Stegostoma tigrinum: one gene and its partner. The protein of the gene in region 2 purifies or fractionates together with the protein of the main gene of each other region. This does not show direct contact. Links are inferred from orthologs where the notes say so. Each region holds a gene or a part of one and is shown on either strand. Other genes may lie near its edges.

Evidence for each region. The genes of interacting proteins can lie anywhere in the genome.
Region 1: the proteins of zc3h4 (region 2) and wdr82 purify together in Homo sapiens (affinity purification with western blotting; 4 studies listed by BioGRID and IntAct, with this or other methods). This does not show direct contact. The link is inferred for Stegostoma tigrinum from reciprocal best matches to the Homo sapiens genes ZC3H4 and WDR82.

The regions. Positions count from the first base shown.
Region 1 is NC_081364.1:12,376,555-12,384,878, forward strand, and holds the start of wdr82 (WD repeat-containing protein 82), read left to right. Parts: upstream 1-5,048; 5' UTR 5,049-5,291; coding exon 5,292-5,452; exon of another isoform or gene 5,453-5,864; intron 5,865-7,484; coding exon 7,485-7,582; intron 7,583-8,324. UniProt on the Homo sapiens protein: Regulatory component of the SET1/COMPASS complex implicated in the tethering of this complex to transcriptional start sites of active genes.
Region 2 is NC_081392.1:3,158,166-3,166,074, forward strand, and holds the start of zc3h4 (zinc finger CCCH domain-containing protein 4), read right to left. Parts: upstream 3,506-7,909; 5' UTR 3,296-3,505; coding exon 3,207-3,295; intron 1-3,206. UniProt on the Homo sapiens protein: RNA-binding protein that suppresses transcription of long non-coding RNAs (lncRNAs). LncRNAs are defined as transcripts more than 200 nucleotides that are not translated into protein.

The DNA of each region.
Region 1 (8,324 bases), on a different chromosome or scaffold from region 2:
GGCAGGAGAGAAGAAAATTGTTGCGGGTGTAGATTAAAAATTTGAAAGGGAAGTACTGAAATCTCATTGGCTACCTTACTTCACTTCTTCAGATCAACAATTAAAAAGTCTCAAAAAATCAAATTGCTCAAAAAGTAAATTCAGAGTTGCTTCCGACAATCTAATTTATTATTTCATACCGGTAGAAGGACATAGCAGATTAAGAAAGGGACCATAATTACGAAATAACAGGGCACAGAAATATCCAACCGAGATGAGTGATAATCTCTTGCCAAATCAAAAGTTAATTATTAATAGAATACCGGTCACCACTGGAATGTTAATCTTTTTTGGAAAACAATCCTGACCCCAAGTTGTCCTGACTTCTTTTCGACACAAAACAGCGAGCTCGACGTTTAAAAGTTGCCACTGGACTTTTAAAGTTGCCAGGTCTTGATGATAAAGGGATTTTGAAAATTTAGCACCTGGGTGTCAGTTAAGTGTTATCTTCGCTTTCAGCCTCACCTTGCGCTCCAGTCTGGAAACTCTCCTTTTCTAGTATCAACCGCTACACTTGGACAATGTGGAACTGAGGCGCAGGGCGATTTGCAGGAGCAACTAACCCCTTGATCAATGCTCTTAACTTTGGTCCAGCGATGGCCGGCCTTTATCGGCGAAACTGCACCGGACAGAGAGGCTGTCGGCTCATGTGTGGAATGATAAGCGTTGGACAGGCATGCCCTGCCCCTCCTCAATCGCAACACTTCTGTGTTCTCCCCAGCTCCTCCTCTTCCCACCCACCCACTATCTCTACTACTACTTCCCTCACAGCGGTTTACGAAGCAACATTATTTAGTTATTAAAAGTTGCAGAGAAGATGGATCATGGTTGGGGAGGAGAAGGGCGTGGGCGTGAGACCAAATGAATATGCGGTACCCAGTACAATGAAGCACGGGAACAGGACCTTCAGTCCACCAGGATACCATTCTAAATTAAACCTAAAATATTCTTAATTCTGTAGTAAATGAGGACTAATCATTTGTAAATCCTGTTCACGGATCAAGAGCCAAATGGCACAGAGTTAGCTCATGTTGACACTGCTACTTATCATTGCTTTAAGGGCAGATAAAAGGCACTAGTATAGTTTGGTGGTTTGTTGGTCAGCATTGATACGGTGGGCTGAAGGACCTGTTTTTATGCTGTACGATTCTATGAGAAACAGCACTCATACAAGTGTGTGGTTAAGGCAATGTTTCCAAAACTTTTCTTTCCCACTGTGACCCTTGAAATTGTCAAGAGCAGGAAAAAGGCCAGTGATATAGAGGTGGGGAGTTTGAAATTTGCAAAGTTTCATTCAACTTGTGAACCCCATTTGGTGTCCTGGACCCATGCCCTCACTTTGGTAAGCCCTTGGTTACAGACTGCCATCCAGAGTGCTGGAGACAGGTTCAATCAAGCCATCCACTTCGGGATCATGGTTACCTGAAATGGAAGGATGTCAGGGCTGTGCAGAGAAGGCCAGAGGGGAAGAGTGGAAATAGCACCAGGGGAATTTCTTCTTCAGAGAACTAGCACAGACATGATAGGCCAGTTGGCTTCCTCCTAAAATGTAGTTGTTATGTGAATTCATAAGGAGTTCAGAATGTTTTCTTTTATCCAGGCAGTGATATTGGATCACACCATCACAAGAAATAATTTGAAGTGAAAGTTAAGAGCAAGTTGTATTTACATGGAAGCTAAATACACAGGTGGGAGACAGAAATGGAAAGGCATGTTCATTGGGTTAAATGGATTCAATTGGGAGGAGATTTTCATGAAGTATTAATGCTGGCATGGACCAGTGGGCACGATGGCCTGTTTCTCCTCTTCATATTTGTCAATCAGCACAACACTAGGATATTCAATCCTTCTTGGTGTCCCAGTTGTCTAATAGGACATTTTTCTGTACTGTAAATTCTATGTAAAAGTAAATATCAAGCGGTTCAAGGAGATAAAATATGACAGAGTAGATAGAGAAAATTTATTCTCTGTTGCAAGCAAATCATTAAGAATAATTCATTGATTTTAAAAAGTTGACAAAGATATGGAGAGGTAATGAGAAAATGTTTTTCATGCAGAATGTTAGTAGAACCTGGAATCGTCTACTTGAAAAATTGGTGCTAGCAGATTCTAACAATAATGTTAAAAGAGATTTGGTCGAATACTTGAGAATGTCGAACTAGCAGGACAGATAGAAAAAAAGCAGGGGCAGGGATGGGAGGAAAAGTGAGGCATGATGGGCCGAATGGTCTTCTTCTGTGCTGTAAATTTTAAAGATTCTATTACATGCAATAAACTGGAAATAGTGGAAACACAGAACAAGGTAGGCAGCATACTATAGAGAAAGAAAGTTAAAGTCTGAAGTGAATTACATTGTGTTAGGATTTGGAAAATCGAGAGGTGGAGCAGGTTTTAAACAATCTCAAGGACAGGACAGTTTGCAGGAGATGCTGGAATACTGCTAACTACACCAGGCTAGCAATCCGTAGGCCCAGGTTAATGCTCTGGGAAACACAGGTTCAAATTATACCGTGCCAGCTGGTGGAATTTATATTCAGATTATTCAAAATAATTCTGTACTATATAAAGAATATGACAACTATTTCCAATTGTTGTAAAAGCCAATCTGGTTCAATAATGCCCTTCAGGGAGGGAATTTGCCATCCAGTGAGACAAAAGAGAGGCAGGAGACGTGATTAGTTTGGATTTCCAGAAGGTCTTCAACAAGGTGCTGCACTGAACACCGCTCAATTAGATAAGAATCGATGTATTAGGGTCAAGGTATGGACAGAAGATCGGCTGGCTGGCTGAAGGTAGAGAATGGAGAAAAAAAGGTGTCTTCTCCAGGATGGCGGTCAAAGACTAGTGGAATACTGCAAGCATCAGTGTTGGGATCACACTATTCATATTATACATTACTGATATGCATTAAGGAACTGAGGGCATTGTTGCTAAGTCTGTAGATAACACAAAGACAGGGACAGGTAGTGTTACAGAAGCAGGGAGGCTGCAGAAAGACTTAGGCTAGCAGAGTGGACAAAGAAGTGGCAGATGGAATGCAATGTGGGAAAGTGTTAGGTTATATATTTTGGTAGGACCAATAGAGGCACAGACCATTTTCTAAATGGGGAAATTTGAAGCAGTAAGGGACTTAGGAGTCCGTATTCAGAATTCTCTTAAGGTTAACATACAAGTTCATTTTGGTAGTTAGAAAGGCAAATGCAATGGCAGCATTCAGTTCGAGAGGACTAGAATACAAATGCAGAGATGTACTGCTGAGGCGAAATAAGGCTCTGACCAGACCACATTTGGAAGCAGTTTTGAGTCCCAAATCTAAGGATGTGCTAATCTTGGATGAAGTCTAGGGGATATTTACTAGAATGATTCCAGGAATGAACAGCTTGTCATTTGATGAGAGTTTGAGAACTCTGGGTCTGTACTCAATGGAATTTAGAGGAATGAGATTTGAATCTGATTGAAGCTTGCAGAACACTGAGGGGGCTGGATGGTGTGGATGTGGAGAAGATATTTCCAATGGCAGTAGAGTCGAGGACCCAATGACACAGCCTCAGAGTGAAGGGGTGATTCTTTAGAGCTGAATTGTGGAGGAATTTCTTCAGCCAGAGGGTGGAGAATCTACGGAACTCGTTGACACAGGAGGCTGTGGAGGCCAAGTTATTGAGACAGAGATTTGAGACAAGTAGACATTGGTTCTTGATTTGTAAGTAGATCAAAGGTTAAAGGGAAATGGCAGAAGAATGGGTTTGAGAAACATACCAGCCATGAATGAATGGTGGAGCCGACACAATGGGCTGAATAACCCAATTCTGTTCCTGTATCTCACTAAATCATGGTCTTATCTGGTCAGGTCTAATTGTGATTCTAGACAAACTGCAATGTGGTTCAATCTTACCTGTCCTCTGAAATTATCAATGAAACCATTCCATTCAACGGTAATTAGAGATGGCAACAAATGCTTACCAGAGATATCCACTTAGTAAGAACAAATAAAGAAAAATTATAAGGTGAGCAAAGAACAAAATTCATATTTGATATGGTAGCAAGGAGAGTTTAAATAACAAAAGAGATTGTGACGCAGGTAAAAGGGGTGACAATGGCTTTGACCTGATAAAAGATGCAAAATGTGTAACTAGAAAAGCTCTAAATGGAAAAATACAGAATCATCGCTTATGGATGTCATTTAAAATAATGCGGTTAAGTTTATAATCTGAAATTGATGAACTCAGTGCTAAATCCTGAAGGCTGTAATGTAACTTGATGAAAGATGAGCTGTTCCTCAACGTCACGTTTGAACTTCATAGAAAAGTCATGAGATCTCCAAACAAGATAATGTTAGAAATGGGCCAATGTAGGAAACTGAGGTCAGTGTTCAAGTGGAGAATCAAAACAAATAAGTCACATTGCAGGTGAGAGCATGCATATTGCTTGAAAGAGACACATGTAGCTGAAGCTTTTTATCATGTGCACTCATCAAGACAAATGCAAAAATGCCACACGTCAAATGATGTTCATACGATAGGGGAAGGATTGGTTGGCAAGCTGATTTCAGTTGGTCAAATGGTGACATGAGGGGGATGCAAATGATGAACAAAAGCTCTAATGAAAGGAATCCTAAAATAAAGCGTTAAAATAACAAAAGGGAGGAAAGTGTGCAAAATGGAAAAAGAGAATCATCACAGACTGGCCATCCAGTGGAACCGCCCTTTAGCAAAACAGCGACCGACTCAACTCCAGCACCTTGAACGCACATGCGCTGCAAGAGTAGAGCCGTATCTCCCTGACAACCAGGACTGGGCTTTATGGGTAATATCATGCCGCAGACCAAAATGTTGGCTGACGTCATGGTCATTTGCCAGTGGGTGGGTTTTGAAGAAGATGGCAACGGTCATGAGACACCGCCTCCGCCGCCGGGTTGTCATGGAGACGACGGGGGCGTTGACACATCATCTCCATAACGACCGAGGGCGGGGGATTAGGTATTATGGGTAGCGGCGCGTTCGCGCCAACCGCGGCTTGGTATCCACAATGCCCCGCGGTTAGGGTGAAGGGCTGTCGCTTTTGAGTCTGGGTCGTGCGCCGCCATTTTAGTCGTGTTTAAATATCGGAGAAAGAAAAAAATACACAAAACTCTCTCCCCTCAGATGCTCAAAAGAAAAAATTAAAGGCGCATCTCGCAGCTTTTTTTTAAAGAAACCGTCCTATTCCTCCCATCTGTAAGCCCCTCCCTGCACCACCGAGCAAAGAAGAACGAGATGAAGCTGACGGATAATGTGCTGCGCAGCTTCCGAGTGGCTAAGGTATTCCGAGAGAACACAGACAAGATCAACTGCTTCGATTTCTCACCCAACGGAGAGACGCTCATCTCCAGCAGCGATGACGACTCCATCGTTCTTTACGACTGCCAGGAGGGCAAGTGAGTACTTTCACCGCCCCCCCCCCCCCCGCTCTCATTTCAGATCAAAAAGACCCTCCCCTCTCTGGGAGGCCTAGAAATCCCGGCCTTGATTTTCACAAAAGACCCTGAGCTCGGGTTGCGTTGCGCGGTCAGGAGAGAGAGAGTTGGGGGCTGATTGCAGAGCCAGCCTGCGGCGAGGAGAAGCTGGAAAGTAATCAGTTGCCTTGGATTATTAACTGGATTTAGGAAGAGGGCAGTCTCACGTTGGAGGCGGGAAATAGTGATCTGCAACACGATGTTCTGGGTTCAGACCGTCGTCTGTGGTGATCACTAATAATGTCTCTTCGATATGCTTCGTAGCGAAGAGTGCATCTGTAGGATTTCTTTCCCAAATGTTGCAGATAACAGCCATTCAAGGTGGAAATCGTAGCCAAACAAATCACGATGTTAGTAGCCTACCTCGATGCAGAGCACATGCGCTCAACATGCTACAGTTGAGGCAGACACCTTGCATCTGTTTACCGTGTAATTCAGTAAAGTTAACCAGACTTTTATAAATCCATGTAATAAATCCGTAAAGCTGGCACTTAGTGTGACCCAAAATCTGTGCACAGTTTAGGTCTTGTGGTGGAATGTGTAGCGCTCATGTCTCTGAGTTAGAGCTCTGGATTCGATTTCTATCCGCGAACTTTTGATATGTCTGGATTAAGTCCTGTCTGTCCTGGAGATGTGCCATTGTGTGTCAGAACAAGTTGTTTAGCAAACTGCAAGAGAATATGGGCTAGTATAGTGTGGTGTGGTGTAGTGCCACTGTGTCTGGGCCCAAACGTCTAGATTCAAATCCTACAAAAGTGTTACATAATTTTATTCATCCTGTTTAGATATATTATTTTAGAATTGTAACTTGATGGAGAACAAAGACGCATCAATAATGAATTTCAGAATTTAGGCCCTAAATAGCTGAAAGCATAGCCATTCAAGTTTTGAAGAAAATATACATAGTAGATCTGAGAAATGGAAGGGACAAGATTGTAGAATGGTTACCACATAAAGGGGAACTATTTATTTATATTTTAGTGCCCTAGATGCTGTTTTTCATGAGAGATGTAGTTTAAGTCTTTTTGAAGAAAATTGACTTGTATTTGTTTTTGCCTTGTATTCTTTGCATTGTGTTTTTCCTGTGACAGAGTTTTGTGGTCACTAGACTTCAGTATGTAAATCTCAACAGTAAGTGTTGGCAGGTTAATCCATTATTACAGGTGGCCTCAGTTGAGTATGTTATTGTTGTTCTTTATTGTCCCTCCATGCTGATTTCCAGCCTGTCGCAGCTAATTCTGTAAAATTGATGTGTAGCCTTATATTAATTTGAGTAATTCAGTTTATAAAATAAGTGTCATTCTGATAGAGAGCTCTGAATGTTATCAGGATATCTGAGTTACATTTTAAAGTAGTAAATTGTTTGATCGTCTCCGACTAAGGTAGAGGATGTCATAACTGCTTCAGTACCTGTTGAGCTGTGTGGTTGGCACTGAGTATGATGTAAGAGGTTTGCAATTTCCTTGTTTTCTCTTCACAGTAATGATGCATGTGGTTTGTGATTTTTGTTGGTGTCGCTGTTACTGAAAATCAGGTCAGCTAATGAGTCAGTAAGTCATAAGGTGTCCTTTAGTTGACCTAGTTTATTTCCTTTTTATGGATGGTCTTGTAACCAAGCCGTAGTGTTTCTGATTCTGGGTCAGAGGTATGTCAAAAACATGCCTGAGCAGGTCCATTTTCTTGTGGTCAAGAAAATACTTGACTGTTTTAACAAAGGACAGCATTATATGTCAGTTAGTTAATCAGTTACATACAGAAGCATGCATCGATGATTTTGTTGCCTTTTCTGATATTTGGGCATGACTACATAAGGGAGGCCTTGAAACTAGACAACAGTAAAATTTGGAAAGAACAGTTATGTGAACTTCTCTGCAACAGTGTGTTGAGGTTAAATTAGACATCTTTTCTGATAAAACTTAACATCACTTAATGTAATTTCTTTCTTACCTGTCAGACCAAAGAGGACACTGTACAGTAAGAAGTATGGGGTAGACCTGATCAGATACACACATGCAGCGAATACAGTGGTTTACAGCTCTAACAAAATCGATGGTAAGTTAGCTTGTGTTGTACAGATCTCCAGCTGTTTAGTTTCTCTTGCTGTGAACTTCTCCAAATCTGGGACATCCTTTGCATCTCTGCAGAATCAGGTTGTGGTGTAAAGTTTGTATTTATCTGTTACCAGTACATTAACAGTTTTTATAGAATTAATGTTTTGCCAGTTTAACACAACAATAGTTTGTAACTTTTTATTTTGTTTGTTTGGAAGTCTCGCCACCTCTTAAAACATATTTGATCCTTTGTTCTCAGTTTGCCATTGTTTTGGCTGCCTTTATAATTTTTCTAAAACTTTAGACCTGCCTGTCAAATTGCTGGGGGACCAATGTGTATTTGCATTTGCAGTTTGGTTTTGAAAGCAAGTCAGTCTTTTTATTATTTCCAAATCAAAATAACTGTGAATTTGATTTTAATATTTCAATTGATCTGGAAGTTGAAATTTGTAGATTAGAAGATGTGTCGAATTAATTAACTTTTGAGGGGGAATAAACCAGCAAGAAATAGAGAGGAAGAATGTAATTTTTGGGGCAGTTGTTTTCTATGCAAAGTGTTGATACTATTTGAAAGGAAAGTAACCAATACCTTACTACCTCATTGAAGTGGGTGTTATTTACATGAGACATGCCACCAAACTATCTGATACGTTTTAAAGGAGAGAATTGTGATCATCACAATGGAACCTCGTCAAATTAGCTATTTTCCTTCTTGTACACAGGGACACTTCACAAGGATGATG
Region 2 (7,909 bases):
TGGAGTTAAGTCTTTTCAGGCACTCGTTCACCTGAATATTGTGATCCCCACTTACATCCAGGCCAAAACTCTGGTCAGATTAACAACATATCATGTGCAAAACAGGAAATGTCCATGAAGGAAACAACCATTATCTGTTGAATATAGAAGCTGTAGAAAAAGTAAGATGCCTCATATGTCACCAGGCACCAAAGAGACAAATTAGTCTCTTTATGGCTACATTAAACAATTACAATTATTGACCATTTTCCAAAACTTTTATAACTTGCCCACAAAATCTCAAACGTACTATCAAAACTAACAAAACAATGCAACTTTCTCAGAGATAGTAGGAACTGCCCATACTGGAGAATCTGAGATAACACGGTGTAAAGCTGGATGAACACAGCAGGCCAAGCAGCATCAGAGGAGCAGGAAAGCTTGACGTTTCAGCCTGCTGTGTTCATTAATGCAACTTTCTCAATTTATTTTGGTGTACAAGTGCATTTTCTCCTCTCCTGCTCTACTGAACATATTGCATCATACTCAAGCTGCAACATGGTTCTCAGTAACTTCCTTTTCCTTCGTAAGATTACTATTTATGTAGAAGAGTTGGTTGATTTTTCCATAATGCATACCTAACGGTAGAACCCAATCCTCTCCTTAGGTGATGTCCACATGCAGTTGTACTTCCAACATCAATGTGATTTTCTCTCCTTAAAGGGGCACTGTACTGCCCTCACTATCTGAGATAATGGGAACTGCACATGCTGGAGAATCCGAAATAACAAAGTGTGGAGCTGGATGAACACAGCAGGCCAAGCAGCATCTTAGGAGCACAAAAGCTGACATTTCGGGCCTAGTCCCTTCACATTGTACAGCTCAAAGGCACACAGCTTTTACTAATTGAGTGAGTGGGAATACACCATACATTTTAATAAATAAGTCCAACAGATGGAGTCATAACAATGATCTAATAATTTACAGTCTTTCATATTATTCCCCATATGCAGCTAGTTTCCTCTTCCTTAAATTCCCACCACATCCTAGCTTCAACATTACCTGATCTAGTCTAAAGGCACTGTCATGAATCATTTAATAGACAACAAGATTGAGTTACTAATCCCCACCAATTTTTCAGAACTGCTCAGCATTACTGGTGCCAGAAATGGGAACTCAATAAATGAGAGATAACTTTTTCTACTCCAAAGATAAACAAACATTCTGCACCGATTCAAAGAACTCAGATTATCTTCTCCTTGAAGAACAATGAAAAAAGCTTTGTTGCTAACTCTTAAAATTATGATCCACAAGAAGATAATCAACATGACAGGATGGTAATTTGTAAATAAGAAAAACAGCTAATGAGAATTACCTACATTTTATTATTTAATTTTCTCTTTCAATCTGATCTTAAATTTCCCAACCGCATTTCAAACTTTCCTTGCTTAATTCCATGACTTTGCAAATGAGTTGACTGTCAATAGTGCTCAACGTTAATGTAAAGATTGGCAATACTATTCCGAAATTCTGCTCTTCGATGGCTCTGTGATCCAAATTGGAAAATGCAAGATCAGAGAGAATGAAATTATAAAAAAAGTGGCTCATCCTCATTAAATATCTATTGTTCATAAATTATTATCCTGTCATGTCAATCAAATTCCTAGCCAGGTTCTATGTTACCCCAAATACAATCGCTCTCATCAATTACTGAAGCAAAACAGTTATCGATACAATAATAACTATCGTTCACATCATAACTACACTGTTCAAGTTAAAAGATTAAGCTATTCAGTATCGACACATGAAATTGATTTATCGAGATCTTCAGGTTTGTACTTACCCCATTTATGAACTCTACATGTAACTCAAATTTCTTTGATGAGACCTATTTCAAGACATGTGATGATTTTGTCAATGTTGGGGGTAGTATGTGTTATTTAACTCCAGGATATCGATAAAATAACTTCATGATTAACGATTTTTGATAAAGGCAGAGTTCAACTAAAGCAGCATTTTGATCTATAATATTAAAAATGCAGTTGAATTCAACCTGCAATGACTGATTCCCATTTCAATGTTGTTCTAATTTGTCTGCTGACTGAAAATGACAATGTCACAAATTACTCTCGCTATTAGTGCAAATGTTACCAGTACTTCATTTACTTATATAACCCATAGTTAGCAATCTGAATTTGAAGGGTAAAATCTAAATTGTATTGTCGAGTGTTTTCAGTTCATTTAGACTATTTTTAAAATTTTATATGTTCGCCACTACACTTTATTGAAATCCTAATGGCAACACTGTACCTCTTTCTCCTCATAAGAAGAAGAAAACTGGATCTACAAAAGAATGTAGGGCAAGGGACCAGTTAGTATTCATTGCTGAAGACGCTGAAAACAATCAAATGAGTTGTAATTTGTTTTTCTTTGCAAACAAAGGAATGAATGTTTCATCATGACCAGCAAATACTGTACAAACACAAGGTGCTTTTTTTTAATATAGGTACAACAGATTTTGAACGGACCAAACTGAAGAAGTCACGTTATAAATGAATAAAACTCGTAGTTGTATTTGTGAGGGGATTGCAAAGCCATGTTTTAAAATGGGTCATGCATATTTAAAATAAGATCACAAAGACATCAAGACAGATTCAAAGCAGGTTTAAAATAAATGATAAATGTTTTTCCATTTATAATAGGGACGCTGGGTAAAAAAAACGAAGTTCAAAGGTCAATTGCCGATGTCCTTTAACTAGGCTGCGTTTTGTTAAAGGACGAGAGGAAAGAATAAGCATCAATGAAATAAAATTAATAAGCATACAGAAATAGGCCCTACTATAAAAAGAATTCCTTTGCATTAACGACATAGTCACATTGTAATCCAGCACCCAAGCATGCGATTAGGCCTTAAATCATCCCTTAGTTCCTTTTTATATAAAAGGATAATTATATTATATATATATATATATATATACACACACACACACACATATATATATATATATATATATATAAAGTCCAGCGACCAATTTTAAGAGGATTTAGAATGAGATAAAGAAAAAATCCTTCTTTAAAAAAAGTTAATCCACAGTTACATTCCTCTACCTTCCGTTTCCAAGGTTTCCCTTCAGAAAAATTGACCTTGGTAATTGATGGATAATTTGTTTTTTAATATAAATATATAAAAAGAGAAATGTTGGATAAAAAGGTTGTTTTTACTCGACCTTTCGTCTCCTGACTCAGTGAGGTTGATGTTGTTGTGTTCGTTTTGGGGGGACTGCTTGTTGGAGGAGGTGAGGCTTTCGAGAGACATTTTCTCTCGCTCTCCCTTTTGTCTGCTCAAAAATTATATATCTCTCTCCTATTGTAAAAAAAATTACCACCGGGCACTGCAATTAAGCTCTCACTGATTCTTGAGATAGGAAATAAACGGTTCTGTTGTTACTGTTTAAGCGTTTTGATATTGGCAGCTATTTTCTCGGTGCTTTTCTGTGCGGATCCGACCCCCGGGTGTCTCTCCATTACACACACTGACTGAGAGGAAGAAAAACACCGTCCACAACATGGCGCCCGCCCTCCGGCTCGGCGCCGTGACGCACGGCCGAAACGAAAAGGTCTGACGGAAATGCACGAACGCGGGTAGCGGGGCTTTCCGAAGAGCCATTCCCTCTTCAGCGTCCGCATCGTCAGTGGAGGGAGAGTACATTGATGCCCCGCCTCGATGAAGTCACCACTAGTCGAACACACCCGAAGCGCTCTCCGGAGTGGAATGGCACGTCATTGCCACGGAAATTCACGAATAGCCTGGATATTCACGGGAAGGCGCGAGGTGTTATGGGTAACTGTTAAGGAGGCTGTTTCTGTTTGTATCATTGGATATATCAAATGATTGTCATGCCACTTTTGTCTAACTTTTCATTTACGATACTCACTGGAGTTTAGAAGAATTAGGGCGTTGAAATGAATGACATTGAGTTAAAGCAGGATGTGCATCGAAATTCTTTAGGGGACTTGTTTCAAAGACAATGGGAACTGCAGATTTGGAGAATCCCCGAGATAACAAAGTGTGAAGCTGGATGAACACAGCAGGCCAAGTTGCATCTCAGGAGCAGGAAAGCTGACGTTTCAGGCCTAGCAGAAAGGTCTAGGCCCAAAACATCAACTTTCCAGCTACTATGATGCTGCTTGGCCTGCTGTGTTCATCCAGCTCTATACCTTGTTTTCTTACGGGACTTGATGGTGAGAGGTATTTTCCTCCGATATGTTGGTACAGGACCAGAGGGTGTAATCTCAGAGTTGACCATTTAAGACATAGATGAGAGGATCTTTCTCCTTCAAATGGTGGTGAATCTGTGGCAGCAAAAACAGAAATTGCTAGAAAATCTCCGGGTCTGGCAGCATCTGTGGAGAGAAAGCAGAGGAGATGTTTTGGGTTCAATGACTTCCTCAGATCTGATGGCAGCAAGGAGCAAGGTTTTTCTTGTGCAGAAGACAGGGTTGGAGTGGGAGAAAGGATTTAGAAATAAACAATAGGTGGAGAAAGCCCAAAGAGAGAGAACATTTGTACAGAGAAAAGGTATGACTAACGATATGCCCAGAAGAATGAATAACTAGTAGTGGACAATGAAGAGCTGGCAGAACACAGCAGGCCAGACAGCATCAGAGGAGCAGGAAAATTGACTTGTCAGGTGAGGACCCTTCAGAAATTCAACAGACACAGGAATAACTGTGTCATTCTCTGACTCCAGCATCTGCAGTTCTTGCCATCTCCAATTAGTAGCTAATGATGGGTGGAGTGCAGTAGCAGCTCATGTGATAATAAGGCCTGGTGTGTTGGGGCTGGGGTTTGGACATGGGAGAAGGTGTTCCAAGCCCTAAAATTGTTGAACTTGATATTGAGTTCAGAAAGCTGTAGAGTCCCCAAGCAGAAAATGAAGTGCTGTTTTTCCAGCTTGTGTTGAGCTGCACTGGAGCTCTGCAGCAAACCTGAGACAGAGATGTTAGTCAGGGAACAACGAACACATGTTCTGTCTACAAAAAAGACCTTGAGCTTCCAGTTGCCTGATACTTCAACACACCACCACGTTCCCTGACCAACGCCTAAACCAAGAATTTTAGGGCTTGACGCATCTTCTCTATTATCCTTAACCCAGCCTCCCCATAACAGTGATACCTCTCTGGGTCTAGGCCCGAAACGTCAGCTTTTGTGCTCCTGAGATGCTGCTGGCCCTGCTGTGTTCATCCAGCCTCACATTTTATTATCTTGGACTCCCCATAACACGCCTTGTTTTCACATTGTATGCTTTTATACACAACCCATTGTTAGCCACCTATTATCTTTTCCTTACCCCAAACCCACCACCCCATCTTCTGCATAAAACAAATCATCATTTTCTTGGCTACCATCCGTTTTAAGGAAGGATCACTCATCCTGAAACATTACTTCTGATTTCTCTCCACAGATGCTGCCAGACCTGCTGAGCTTTAGTTAGTCACACCTTTTCTCTGTCCAAATGTTCTCTCTCTTTGGGCTCTTCCTCCCACTCCAACCCTATCTTTCACAGACCTGCAGAGGAGATTCACTTGGTTGATTCCAGAGTTGAGAGCACTGGATTATGAGGAGAGACTGAATAGACTGGCTTTATACTCCTTGGAATTTAGAAGAATGAGGGGAGATGTTATGGAAACATGTAAGATTATGAAGGGAATAGATAAGGTGGAGGCAGGGAGGTTGTTTCTGCTAGCAGGTGAAACTAGGACCAGAGGGCATTGCCTCACAATAAAGGGAAGCAGATGTAGAACTGAGGTCAGGAGAAACTTCTTCACCCAAAGGGTTGTGTATCTGTGGAACTTCCTGCCTAGTGAAGCAGTTGAAGCTACCTCGCTGAATGTTTTTAAGGTAAGGCTAGATAAATTATTGAACAATAAAGGAATTCAGGGTTATGGTGAGTGGGCGAGTAAGTGGAGTTGAGTCTCAAAAAGATCAGCCATGATCTTATTAAATGGCGGGACAGGCTCGAGGGGCCAGGTAGCCTACTCTTGCTCCTAGTTCTTATGTTCTTTGCCAGCATTTTCTGTTTTTGTTGCAGGAAAGTGGAGTTGAGGTTTATCAGAAACAAACATGGGATTCAGGGTGAGCTTACCAATTGGATACAAAATTGGCTTTAGGGCATGAGACAGAGGGTAGTGGTGGAGAGCTGTTTTTCGGTCTGGAGCCCTGTGACCAACAGTGTTCTACAGGAATTGGTACTAGTTCTACTTTTTTTGTCATTTGAATGGTAATATAGGAGGCATGGTTTGCAATTGACACCAAGACTGGTGGTGTTGTGGATAGTGAAGAAGGTTATCTAAGATTACAAAGAAATCTTGATAATTGGGTCAATGGGCTGCGGAGTAGCAGATGGAGTTTAATTAGGATAAATATGAGGTATTGCATTTTGGTCATACAAACAAGGACAGGACTAATATAATTAATGATAGGGTCTGGGGTAGTGTTGCAGCACAGAGATGTAGGAATTCAGCTACATAATTCTTTGAAATTTGCATCACAGGTAGGCAGGGTAATTATGAAGGTGTTTAGCACAGTTGCCTTTGTTGCTCAAATGTTTGAGTATAGGAGTTGGGACGTTATGTTGAGGTCATGGAGGATGTTGGTGAGGCCTCTTCCAACCTACTGTGTTCAGTTCTGGTTATCCTGTTTTAGGAAGCATATTATTAAACCAGAGAGGGTTCAGAAAAGATTTAGCAGGAAGTTGCCAGGAATGGAGGGTTTGAAATATAAAAATATACTGGAAAGGTTGGGACTTTTTTTTTAAGCTGGAGCATAGGAGGTTGAGGGGTGACCGTCTTGAGGTTTATAAAATCATAACAGGCATAGATAAGGTGAATGACAAGGGTCTTTTCCCTGGGGTGTGGAATTAAAGGGCATATTTTTAAGGCAAGAGGAGAAAGATTTTAAAGACATACGGGGCAACTTTTTTTTACACTGACTGTTTGTGTATGGAATAAACTGCAGAGAAAGTGGTGGACGATTACAGTTACAATGTTAAACATGTTTTTTAAAAAAGCCATTTGGATAAGTTCATGAAGAGAAAAGGTTTGGAGGGATATGAGCCAAGAGCAGACTGGTGGGACTAGTTTTGTCTGGGAACATGATTGGCATGGGCTGGTTGGGCTGAAGGGTCTGTTTCCATGCTGTTTGACTCCATGATTCTAAAAGCGGAAATCGCTGGAAAACTCAGCAGGTCTGGCAGCATCTGTGGAGAGAAAGCAGAATTAACATTTTGGCAATGACCTTTCTTCATTATCAGCTTTGATCTCATTGAATGGCACAGCAAACTTGATGGGCTGAAAGTCTTAAGGTTTCACTTTCTTACATGACAAAACTTTTCTCACTTTTGAAAATAACAAATATATTGCTTCTACCCTATGTATTCTTTGCTGATGTACAGACTGTGATACCTTCACATTATTCCTAAAAATGCCCTAAATTTTTATATTGTTGCATTTTAATGCTAATATTCATTTTTAACAATTTATATATACATGAATATTGAAAGTCTTGTTGCACTGTGGGTAGCATCTCTGCCACTGAACAAGAATCTCTAGGTTCGAGACCCTTTCAGGATGGCCAAGGAAGGTACGCAGTCAAACAGGGTGCGTATGAATCTGCAAGTTATCCCAACAAATGCCAATGCCAGATGATAAAAACAGCAGAGATTTCCGTAGAGCCACAGGATGGAAAGAAAACAGAAGCTTCTCCCATGGCCAGTTATAGCTCTGTACTACAAGAAGCACACAATAATAGTACATACTGTGGGTACTGTGTGTCAGTGGTGGAGGAGGTGAATGCTTAAGGTGGTCAATCAAGTATCTGTTGACTGGGTTGCTCGATCCCGGATGATCAGGAAACAGAATAGTTCCAGTG